Arabidopsis thaliana: one gene and its partners. The protein of the gene in region 2 interacts with the protein of the main gene of each other region in a pairwise test. Each region holds a gene or a part of one and is shown on either strand. Other genes may lie near its edges.

What was found.
Region 1: the proteins of AT5G07310 (region 2) and SCL21 interact in binary tests that used the Arabidopsis thaliana proteins (3 or more experiments, as listed by UniProt).
Region 3: the proteins of AT5G07310 (region 2) and PAT1 interact in binary tests that used the Arabidopsis thaliana proteins (3 or more experiments, as listed by UniProt).

What each region holds. Positions count from the first base shown.
Region 1 is NC_003071.7:1,719,858-1,724,206, forward strand, and holds SCL21 (SCARECROW-like 21), read right to left. Parts: upstream 2,748-4,349; 5' UTR 2,734-2,747; coding exon of another isoform or gene 2,643-2,733; 5' UTR 2,424-2,642; intron 2,043-2,423; 5' UTR 1,960-2,042; coding exon 718-1,959; 3' UTR 504-717; downstream 1-503. Other genes in the region: ZAP1 (zinc-dependent activator protein-1), read left to right, coding at 1-362; AT2G04900 (uncharacterized protein), read left to right, coding at 2,643-2,733, 2,813-2,883, 2,968-3,048, 3,133-3,176, 3,650-3,749; AT2G04910 (Carbohydrate-binding X8 domain superfamily protein), read right to left, coding at 4,123-4,349. UniProt on the Arabidopsis thaliana protein: Probable transcription factor involved in plant development.
Region 2 is NC_003076.8:2,303,607-2,307,339, forward strand, and holds AT5G07310 (Integrase-type DNA-binding superfamily protein), read left to right. Parts: upstream 1-1,944; 5' UTR 1,945-2,077; coding exon 2,078-2,330; intron 2,331-2,515; coding exon 2,516-3,054; 3' UTR 3,055-3,231; downstream 3,232-3,733.
Region 3 is NC_003076.8:19,521,736-19,526,416, reverse strand, and holds PAT1 (GRAS family transcription factor), read left to right. Parts: upstream 1-1,628; 5' UTR 1,629-1,914; exon of another isoform or gene 1,915-2,028; 5' UTR 2,029-2,108; intron 2,109-2,333; 5' UTR 2,334-2,363; coding exon 2,364-3,385; intron 3,386-3,469; coding exon 3,470-3,920; 3' UTR 3,921-4,179; downstream 4,180-4,681. UniProt on the Arabidopsis thaliana protein: Probable transcription factor involved in phytochrome A (phyA) signal transduction.

The DNA of each region.
Region 1 (4,349 bases), on a different chromosome or scaffold from region 2:
GAAGAGTTGTTACTCATAATAACATGCTGGACTCGGAAGTTGATGATAAAGAAGGAGATGCCAACAAGACTCCACAGAGCTCAACTCTTCAATCCATTACAAAAGACCAGCATGTCGAAGATCACTTAAGAAAGAAAACGAAGACTAATGGCTTTGAGAAAAGTCTTGATCAAGGTCCAGTTTTGGATGAGAAGCTGAAGGAGGAAATAAAAGAGAGATCAGATGCAAACAAAGATCACGCAGCCAATCACGCCAAGCCGGAAGCAAAGTCAGATGATAAAACCACTGTTTGTCAAGAGAAGGCAGTAGGAACCCTGGAGAGCGAGGAACAAAAACCCAAGACAGAGCCTGCCCAAAGCTAAGCATTCAGTGTTGTACCGAGTGGTAATTTATATGGCTGTTTTAACATAGATTAGTACAGGCGATATGGTTATAGACTGTACAGTTGTTGTTCAGGCGGGACCAGATTTAGATTAGTGTTTAATGGAATAGTATGCTTTAATACCTTTATGTAACCACTTCCATTTGGTTCAAATAAGAGTTACAGGAAGAGAAGGTAACACAACAAGAGCCCTTCTTTGTTGATGGAGCCTGTGTAATAGTTGTAGCATGGGGATGTATATGATTTGATTCAACCTTATTAATGGTTATGAGACAAAACTATCTATTACTTCCAGTTCTGTCTTTTGCATTACATTCTTGGAGACGTTTATTCTTTCACTTCCATGCACAAGATGAGACCAAGATTCGGTCCATCCAACCAAGGTACAGAGCACCATCTCTTTCTTCAATCGCATACCCGTTGCTGTAATCTCTCAAGAGGGCTCTAATGGTGGCTGAAATGATTGAGCTCAAGGGGTATGGCTCAAAACCCGCCATGGAAAACCTTGACTTCCATTTCCCGAGAAGCTCGTGTCTTTCGATCCTCTCGGCTCCTTCACAAGCTATGATGTTGACGACATCCCTTGCCATGCAGTGCTGCTCGATATTGATCCTTTCCTTGTGATTTCTCGGAAGCATAACATCGATAGATTCGAACATTGCCGTGTAATAACTTAATGTCTCAAGGAACCTAGGAAGGAAAGGGGAAGTGTTCGTGTTGCATTCTTGTTCCACAAGAGTGACTACTTTAGGTGATAGACTCTTCACCATCCTCAGCAACCGGTCCCTGTGGTTTTCCATGCTTACACTCTCATCTGGCAAATGATGCAGCATGTAAGCAAAGTTCACTCCAAGGGCTTCGCCATCTCGGACATCAAGATTTTCCACTTCAACTTCACAACTTGGCCTTGAAACCGCATTGAACCTGAATGGAACATCAAACTTCTTTGCAAGTTTCTCTAGTCTCTTCTTGACTGTAACCAAGACAGATCCATCACCAACTCCGGTAATTCGAATATTTGGAGCCCCACCAGGCCTAGCTGCAAAAGCCTGGATAAGTGCTATCCACTGGCTCCCTTGTCCAATTTGGAAGTCAATAATGTGAATCCTCTCTTCATCCTTCATTGCTTCTGCAATCGCACCATTCGCTGACATGTATCCAAACTTGAAATATGGACAAACCTCATGCAGAACATACACATAAGATAAAAATTCATAACTCTCTGGTTCTCTGGACTGGAGAGACTTATATATCGAACTACCAGAAGCAGCAAGCCTAGCAACAAGCCCTTCTAACATATAAGCTCCCAATCTCTGGATTGGCTCACCAGAAATCGAAACCATACCGCGCAACTCACCCATACACCATCGTGCCATTAGAAGATTATTCTCAGAAACAGCTTTTGCACAAGCAACAAGTACCAACTTCAAGTCTCCCCTTGATATTGCCTCCACTATCAATAACAAATCTTTAGCATCATCAGGCCACATGGAGAGTTCATGGCAGATAGCATCATCGATACTCTCAGCTATCTCTGGCAGTGGCTGCAACATTATTGAACCTCTTACATTGTCCATCACAAATAAGCAAGTAAGAATCTTTGAACATCAACCATTATCCTCAAATGACCTTTTATTTATCTGATCTTCATAACAAACACCTGTAGAATTCATAGACAAAGTCATTAATCAGAGACTGAATTAGATATCAATATTGAACAATAATATCCATGGAGATCAAAACTCTAACAAGAACTCTAGTATCATTGAAATCAACTCATGACTCTATGAATCTACGTCAGCCATGAACTACTTCATCAATAAACAAGGCATACAAGAGTTCCAATCCTAAACAAACTAATTTGACAATTTCTCTTCACACTTTAGAGTAAAGCTTGCTAGAAAGAGCAATCATTTACAACAAACCAACATCAAACTTATCAAAGAAGAAATGTTTTCATGTTTTGTGGATAAGAAGAAGCAGAGCATCAAAATCATCAAGAAAAGAGAATAAAGGTTTGATTTTTATGAGAAAAACAAACCTTGTGTAGGTTAAGAAGTGATCTTTCGGTGGAAGTCGATAAGGGATTTGGTTTTGCAAGTGAGAGATCCAACCAAAGCTCGCAGCTGAAGCAAAAGGAAGAATCTTTTTAGTTGCTGTAGTGAAGAAAATAACACATCACATACGACGTCGTTTTAGGCTTAAACCGAATAAGACCCGATCACCGACTTGACACATCTCGCTTAAAGTCTCTGGTCAAATGGGAAATAGTGTAAGAAGCAATCTAAGAGACATCAGAGGACGACGATCGATGGATCCTCGGATGTGGCACAAAGTCGCCGCTATTTCCGGTGAGATTTAAGATAAAGTAATGATCTTTTGATTTTGATCTTGTGAGGAAAGGTACTGATTCGGATAGAATTGGTTTAGGTATGGCTGCTCTTGGTTTGGGAACTTATGGTGCTCATGTCTTTAAACCAGAGAACCCTTCTTACAAACAGGTTTAGATTCTTGAAAATTGTTGGAAAATTCGATACTTTGTTGGATTTCTGTGAGAAAGTTTAGGTTTTTTTGTTGTTGTTCAGGTGTGGCAAACGGCTTCACTTTACCATTTGGTTCACACTGCTGCTCTTGTTTCTGCTCCTAGCACCAAATATCCCAACATTGTTAGCTTTCTCTTCTTGTACTCTGTTTCTCTAATCTTTGTCCTTTGAGAGTTGATGGAGCTGACATATCTTTTTCTTGCTTAGTTTGGTGGCTTGTTGACTGCTGGAATTGTAGCCTTTTCCGGCACGTAAGTTGTTATCTTTTTGTTTCTCAGATTCTTCAGTTTGAGATGTGTATGGTAGAGCTTTTGTGCTAGATGTTTGTTGGATGTCTTGTCATTGAGGTTATAGTAGTGCATTCATGGATATTTGAGCTATTTAGATATGATTTGGACTTTCTAGAATTCATATCTAATCTCTAGCAGTAGCAATACTTGCCACAATTCTTCGTGGCTAGGGAGATTTTATCGATTTCGACATGTGTCCAACTCTGAAGCATTTGGAAACCATTGTATCACTTATTTAATAGCATAGGTCTTTGTATTTGAGTTAATGAATGGTATTTGTCCCCTTTGTACTTCCTTTGATATGTGAAGGTATGCTCTTTGGAGAAGTAACTATATTTTAGATGCTTAGTAGATAACTTTAGTTTTGTGTTCAATAGTCTATTTCCGGGTATGAGTATGTGAGAAGTTTCATGTGTGTTGAAATGTTGTTGCAGGTGTTATATGGTAGCGCTGCGGGAGGACAGAAAGTTTTCGACATTGGCACCATTCGGAGGCTTTGCGTTCATTGCTGCATGGGCAACTTTACTTTTCTAAACAATCTCATAACCATCTATATTGTCAAGTTTGTGGTCAAGCTTATCCTACATATGAACTCACTGTTTTTTTTTGTTTACCTAAGAGATTGCTTAATAACAATTCTGTGTCGACAACCATTAAGCATCTTCCTTTACTTGTTCAGTTTGTTGCTAAAGGGATTATGTAAATGACGACCATATTAATGTAATCTTATTACCATACAATTTATCAAAATTCTACATTACAAGAACTTCCAAGTTCCAACAAAGATTTGTTTATATTGTTCACCGGTAGTATAATTCATCATCTTTCATTTCATCTTGGTCTTTCCTTTGAATCATTGGACATACTCAAAATGGCACATACTCAAAATGGCACGAATCGTGACCTATCAAATCATGAGATAATCAGAAACAGATGGTTCAAGATTTTGATTGATCAAAGAGCTTAAATAACTGTAACAAAAAGGGTTTAGATAAAGTTGCTTACTAGGGTCGGTTTGTGTGATAAATGCAGTGCTGTTGAAGTTACAGGAACCGCCGTTGCGCTTATAACGCTGGTAATAGTTATTGAAGACAACAGAGGCATGGTCCTTGACAGTGTTGGGCAAGAAGCAAG
Region 2 (3,733 bases):
AAAAAATTTACATTATGTGACGTCGTTAAACTCATTTTCCCTGCTTGGCAAATTCACAAAATGTTGTTTCTTCGTTCTCGTCAACAAATCTGAAAATACCTACACATGCCATGTGTATATCCTGTTTTAAAGTTTAATTTTTTCATTTAAATTCAAATTCATTGACATGTCGTTGTAAGATACTCTCAACCTTTTTTCTATCAGATTGACTTTCTTATTAAAAAAGTCACTTTCTTTTCTCGTAATCTTAGCTATATAATGTCATTTTTGTATAATTTAGACGTAGAAAAGTTGGCTAATTTAATAGATCATAATAATATCAAATCATATTTATCCATAGTCAAATGAGTACGTTATACATCCTGAACAGCAATCCTGAACAGAAATTATTTTTTCGTCGTCCCGTCAAAACGTGTTATCCTACGTTTTATCAGATGCCATGCTATATGTTATGTTTTTATTTCAATGTATTTATAATCAAGTTTGAATATTACATATTTTTTACTTTAATAGTTAATACATTACAAAGAAACAAAAAAAGCATGTTGCTTGTTGTTGAGAAAGAATAACAAACAAACACATGTGTCATGTGTGCCACGTGCAAACATGACTAAAAAAAGACAACAGTTTCTCGATTGCAACTCTCTTGGTTTCTTTCCTACTTCCGTAATGAGAAAAAAAGCTCTGTCTATACCTAAAAAAAGTTATTTCTTAGAATATCAAAAGCTAGATTTTAGGAAATTAAATATTTGAGATCAACAAATATCGTTAGTTGTGAATTGCGACTTGTCAAGGGCCCATACAAAATGTTTTTTTTTTTGTGTGTGTGAGCATATCCTTATAATAATTTGTTTGTTTAATACCAAAATGGTGCTTTAAATGTTAATATATTACTGTAAACTTTCCCTAGATCCACTAATTTTTCTTTTTATCGTTTATTAAAAAACATTAATAGTAATCTAACCCGTTATCTATATATACATTTTAAGTGAGTATGAAAATTTACTCCAATTTTGATCTCCTGAATTGTGATAATCTTATCTCTTTTTTTCTTTCTAAAACTTGAATCTTGGACTTGGTGTTTGCATGTAAAAATGTTTTTTCATTACTCATTTAACTGAACTATTTCTAGATATAGATGAAATTAGAAATCCTCTTCGAATTATCTATCAAAAGTAGAAAGAGCCTCAATAACAACATTTCACACGTTTTTACTTGAGTTAGTGATCAATGTGTACACATTTCTCGAATATAACTAAATTTGTCTTTCAATCTCTATCCAAATATTTTATAGGGGAGAAAAGACCCCACTCTCGCGTAACGTAAACTCCTTTTCTATATCACAACATATATGTAAAACAATTTGATTATTTTCTTATTCCTTAACTTTTCCAGAGAATGTCGGTTTATAGTTATACACGAAGAATATCTATGTTTCTTTGTATTTAAATCAAACTTCCAAAAGAATATAATTATTTTTCTTTTCTCTTCTTCGATTCCATGCATGTTTTCTCAAAAAAGCAATTAAACAGAATATGTATATATGCATGCACTCCTTCTTTATTTTTTTCTTTTTGTCATCTTGGAGCTTTACATAGCGTTCATATTATTTTACATTCTTCTATTAGAGCTTTTCTACTAATCTTTATTGATATCCATTTCTTAACTTGTTCAGATTCACACGTACACATTTTTTGCAATAATCAAATCAAAAAGCTTTTTTCACGCGTCTCTACAGTTTTAGCAGGGTACACTGATATAGTACATGATTTTCTATATCGAAAATTACAATAGCTAGAAAAATATATAATTTTTTTAAAAATATGCAAAACTTCTGCTTGACGTTAAATTTTGTTTTGTCATTTGTCTTATGTTCACACAGACGAAAAAGCTTCTATAAAACCGTCAAAATAGCTCACCCCTAAAACCCTAATTATATATTCCCTCTTTCATTCTCCTTCTTCGTCTTTTCTTTGTTTCTCATATTCAAGACATCCTCAATTCCAAATCTTAAACCCTAAATTTACAGACACAATCGAGATCACCTGAAAAAAGAGGTTTAAAGATTTTAGCAAAGATGGCGAATTCAGGAAATTATGGAAAGAGGCCCTTTCGAGGCGATGAATCGGATGAAAAGAAAGAAGCCGATGATGATGAGAACATATTCCCTTTCTTCTCTGCCCGATCCCAATATGACATGCGTGCCATGGTCTCAGCCTTGACTCAAGTCATTGGAAACCAAAGCAGCTCTCATGATAATAACCAACATCAACCTGTTGTGTATAATCAACAAGATCCTAACCCACCGGCTCCTCCAACTCAAGATCAAGGTATATTTACATATATAGTTGACAAATTAGTTACCATATTTATGGGATGATATATGTGAATGAAAAAATGAGCATAATGTTTTATAATAGCAGTTGAATTTGTGCTCTGGACGACGAATATATCCATGTAGTATATATGAGAAATATATCAAGTATATATACGAATGTTTTCTCTTGTTGATTAGGGCTATTGAGGAAGAGGCACTATAGAGGGGTAAGACAACGACCATGGGGAAAGTGGGCAGCTGAAATTCGGGATCCGCAAAAGGCAGCACGGGTGTGGCTCGGGACATTTGAGACTGCTGAAGCTGCGGCTTTAGCTTATGATAACGCAGCTCTTAAGTTCAAAGGAAGCAAAGCCAAACTCAATTTCCCTGAGAGAGCTCAACTAGCAAGTAACACTAGTACAACTACCGGTCCACCAAACTATTATTCTTCTAATAATCAAATTTACTACTCAAATCCGCAGACTAATCCGCAAACCATACCTTATTTTAACCAATACTACTATAACCAATATCTTCATCAAGGGGGGAATAGTAACGATGCATTAAGTTATAGCTTGGCCGGTGGAGAAACCGGAGGCTCAATGTATAATCATCAGACGTTATCTACTACAAATTCTTCATCTTCTGGTGGATCTTCAAGGCAACAAGATGATGAACAAGATTACGCCAGATATTTGCGTTTTGGGGATTCTTCACCTCCTAATTCTGGTTTTTGAGATCTTCAATAAACTGATAATAAAGGATTTGGGTCACTTGTTATGAGGGGATCATATGTTTTCTAATTGAGTTTTTTTTTGTATTTGTATTTTTCATTATGCGTGTGTTTTTGTTTGTGATCACTTTGTTTACTTCTTTCAAGAGTTTTTCATGGGTTCTTTGTTTGTAACCCTTGCATTTGGATTTGTTTTAAGTTTTTTTTTTTTTTTTTTTTTTTTTTTGGGTGGGGTAATTCGTTTTGTATTAAAGAAGAAATTATAAATACACAAGAGTGTTACCCTTTAAATTTATTGGAGTTCCCCCAAACAAACACACATGTAGACACATAAAATTATAGCATTAATAACTGCTAAATTCCGAATTGCGTTGTTATGTGGCCATTATATTGCCAACGCAGATATAACAAACCAAAGCTTTTTATTTATTGAATGAAAATACATTTTCTACCGTGTATCTTACAAGACATAAGGCAAAGTAGCATACCTACATGACAGTACTAATAACATCTGTTGAGAGTCGTTTAGTTTTAATATTTTTCGTCCCGTTTTCTTGGACTAAGATGACAGCCTTGATTTAAGTAATTATATATCAAGTTTATACATACACAATTTCCTTTCCAATTTTATTGGACTGTTTTGGGGGATCTCTTCAGTCAGTTTGAATTCAAAAAATTACTAC
Region 3 (4,681 bases), about 17 Mb from region 2:
CTCATACTTTTTGATTATATTTTATTTTTATATTGAACAGTTTCTCAATGAAAAACCATTGATGGAGATGGTGTAAGATATGCATTACTTAAAAAAAAAGGTTGATGATGATATCTCAGAAATATTCTGCATTTCTATCACCAAAGAAGATCTGTAGTTGGAGATGATGAGAGTTTAGCCATGATGAGAAAAATGGGAAAAGAATTAGCATTAGATTTTCTATATATATAGTTTACAAGTCCCATGTACATACATACACACATTTACATACATGGTACATGGGACGTCACTCATTGTATGAAGTTTTAAAAAACGACAAATAGACAGATTTAGAGAATCATTTATATATGTTTTTAAAACACATTACCCCTCTACATTTTTATTTTTGTTAAACGTGAGATATCTCCACCATATTATAATGGAAAGGGTTGTCAAAAAGAATAATGATACAAAAAAGAACGGCAAAGGGGGGTTGGGTTGTGGGGTCATAGTGACACAACATTCACTTACAAAAGAGAGTAAATTTTATTTTTATTATTTTAACTGCTTTGCAAGATTTAGTTAACACCTTTTTAGTTTGGAATCTGGATTTTCTTATTAACTTTTTTTTAATTATATGTAAAATTCTGAACCAAAACTCGTACATCTCAACGTATCAAATTAGTATGACTTATGACACAATCTTTTGGATGGATCCTAGGCTCAATCACTATATCATAAGCTTTTGGTTATCAAAAGTATTTTAGCTTCAGATTTATTATTGTACTATAAGAACTATCACAAGTTATTTGAAGTTCAAGATACAATCCATGGCAGTTTAAATTTGACCATTTGTTTTATAGATTTTTTGCTTTTTTTTCCTTTGAAACGATCCAAATGTTTCCAAAACTATGGATAAAATAGGTATGTTCGATGATTAAAATGGTATAGTAAAATTAGAAAGAAAACAAAAACTGACATTTTATCATAAGAAATAAGTTTCTGTTTTCGTTATTTTCTACAAAATCAAATTACTTCGTAATTTCCACAGTCGTGTGGCATGAAATCACATCATTTGAATTCAGCATTGTAGTCTTCGTTCTCTACCCGGTCAACATTCTTTGACTTTGATTTTCTTTGGTGTTCCTTCTTGTCTTCCTATATCTACTAAAAGCCAATTAGTTTTCTTTTCCGTGTATTTATATATAATTTTCTAAATGCATTATATTAAAACTGAATTATTTGATTAGAAGTTTACGACAAAAAAGAACATTTACTCAAATAATTGGTGGCTTTGTGTTGTTAATATTTATGCAAATTTTGTTTTTGGTGACAAAAAAAAGCTAATTAAATTACTCTGTACTATAAACTTAAGTTATGGTAAACCAGTGGCTCTGGTTTGATTATGTTTAGGGTAAAAAAATCAATTATTCTCGTATGTTTTAGGAATTAATTTGCACTTACAATTTGACAATTTTATAGACGATTTTAGTGATTAAAAAAACCTGAATTTATATGCATTTCGGGAATGTTTCGGTTTTGACCTAGAATTTTCCGATTAACAAAAAAAAATCTTTTTAATACTTTAATCTTAAACTAAGATTAGAGATAGTGAAAGTTGAAAACTAGATTGAGACAAATAATGAATCGGGGACATGTATCTAATATAATTGGAGGCTCAATAAATCATCAAATGATGTGGTGGTGGGAGCGACATGTTTGAGTGGTATAATCGTAAATCACACGCCGGTTTAAGATTCTGTTTCTTTTTTTTTTTTCTCTGTGATAAGAGTGAGACTTCTGTTTTGTCTTTCGAGCCATTCCCATGTGCCTTGTCTCCGACAACTTTCTCTCTTCCCTTCTCTCTTCCTCTGGTTCACATGGAACTTCAATAACATTCACTACTTTAAGGTTTCTCATCTCCGAAAAAGTCAGGTGGGTACTACTAAATTTGGATTTTCGTTCACTTAGAACAGTTCTGTTTGATCTTTGATTCCTCAAGTTATAACTTTTGTTTTTCTTTTATATCTTATGACATGATAATATTAGGTCTTAAATCATCCTCTTCTTTTGATCCTGTTGGAAAATTCTTTGATTTGGTGGTTATGTTGCTTAGATAACCTAAAAAGGTATGAATTTGTAGCTTTGTTGGATTCTTAATCTCTGTTTTTATCAATAGATTTGATTAATATATGTCTAATTATGTGGTTATTTGCATTAGAATTGTGTTATGTATAGACGAATATAACTTGAGGTTATGTTGATCTAAGTTACAAAAATAATTCAGGGTAATTTAGAGCTTCTCTAGGATGGTTTAAGATGAGTCTTTAAGTCTGATTTTTTTATACTTGCAGTTATTGTGCAGATCATTGAAGTGACTAGAAATGTACAAGCAGCCTAGACAAGAGCTTGAGGCTTATTATTTTGAGCCTAACTCTGTTGAGAAGCTTAGGTACTTACCGGTTAACAACTCTCGTAAACGGTTTTGTACGCTCGAGCCATTTCCTGACTCTCCTCCTTATAATGCTCTATCTACTGCTACATATGATGATACATGTGGCTCTTGTGTAACGGATGAGTTGAATGACTTCAAACACAAGATTAGGGAAATCGAAACGGTGATGATGGGGCCGGACTCGTTGGACTTACTTGTCGATTGCACGGACTCATTTGATTCCACGGCGAGTCAAGAGATTAATGGTTGGAGATCAACTCTAGAGGCTATCTCGAGGCGGGATTTAAGAGCTGATCTTGTTTCATGTGCCAAAGCTATGTCGGAAAATGATCTTATGATGGCTCATTCAATGATGGAGAAGTTGCGGCAGATGGTTTCGGTTTCTGGTGAGCCTATTCAACGGTTGGGAGCTTACTTATTGGAAGGTCTAGTGGCGCAGCTAGCTTCGTCGGGCAGTTCTATATACAAAGCACTTAATAGGTGTCCTGAACCGGCTAGCACAGAGCTTCTCTCTTACATGCACATTCTCTATGAGGTTTGTCCTTACTTCAAGTTTGGATACATGTCAGCAAATGGTGCTATTGCTGAGGCAATGAAGGAAGAAAACAGAGTTCACATTATTGATTTCCAAATCGGTCAAGGGAGTCAATGGGTCACTCTTATCCAGGCTTTTGCAGCTAGGCCTGGTGGGCCTCCGCGGATTCGGATAACGGGTATCGATGATATGACTTCAGCGTATGCTCGTGGAGGTGGCCTAAGCATTGTTGGAAATAGACTCGCTAAGCTTGCTAAGCAGTTCAACGTTCCATTCGAGTTTAACTCGGTATCGGTGTCAGTTTCCGAGGTTAAACCTAAAAACCTCGGGGTTCGACCTGGGGAAGCTCTAGCCGTAAACTTTGCCTTTGTGCTTCATCATATGCCAGACGAAAGCGTGAGCACCGAGAATCACCGGTATAGTTTTTATTATTAAAATTTGTTTACACGTAGGATGAGTCTTTTGTTTAGTCCTTTGACTAAGTTGAATATAATTTGCAGCGACCGGTTATTGAGAATGGTGAAGAGCTTATCTCCCAAGGTGGTGACTCTTGTGGAACAAGAGTCAAACACAAACACAGCCGCTTTCTTCCCGAGGTTCATGGAGACAATGAACTACTATGCCGCGATGTTTGAGTCAATTGATGTGACTCTACCAAGAGATCACAAACAGAGGATTAATGTGGAGCAACATTGTCTAGCAAGAGATGTCGTGAACATCATCGCATGTGAAGGAGCTGATCGGGTGGAGCGACACGAGCTCCTAGGAAAATGGAGGTCACGGTTTGGGATGGCGGGTTTCACTCCTTACCCGTTGAGTCCCTTGGTGAATTCAACCATTAAAAGTCTGCTTAGGAACTACTCAGACAAGTACAGGCTAGAAGAAAGAGATGGAGCTTTGTATCTTGGTTGGATGCATCGAGATTTGGTTGCCTCGTGTGCTTGGAAATGAGACAGTGACATTTCTCTAGTGTGATGGCAATTAATGTGTTTCTACTTGTATGCAATTTAGTCGCTCATTTGAATCTTCAAAACATTTGAAGAATCTTATGTTTACTACTAGAGACCAAGAGTGTGCACAATTGCTCAAATGTCAAAGTCAACTCTTTCCTCAATCAAAATTTAAGTATGTAGTTCACACGAATGGATCTTTGTAATAATGTAATATATGAAATCAATCTAGTTTCAATAAAATTACAAAATAGTCTTTTCATACTTTTGTGACATCGCAGCGACTTCAATAATTTTGAGAGAGAACACGTGTAAATGTCTCTTTCGCAGTGTGTCTGAATTTAATTTGACACCTACTTTTAATCTTTTATATATCATCATTAATAATAATCTTCGACATATATTGATTAGAGGGAGTGAAACCAATAACCCTACGCGACTAAAGAAAAGCATATATGAACACAACAATGGTTTCTTATGAGAAATATTAAATTCTTATAAGAAAAGGACTACGTATTGAACTATACATACGAACTAGACCTAAAATTTCTTCATTAACATAATCAAAAATATAAAATATATTCTTAGAATATAATTTAAATTTTGTAAAAATGTTGTTTGTTGAATATAATTTTACATTCAATTCAAAAAGAAAAAGAAAAAGAAAAAATCTTCAAAATTTTTATTTTTTAATTTTCTTATAATTGAATCCTTACCAATTATGTAATTTTGGTTACTCATTGCGATCATTCCATATTGGTC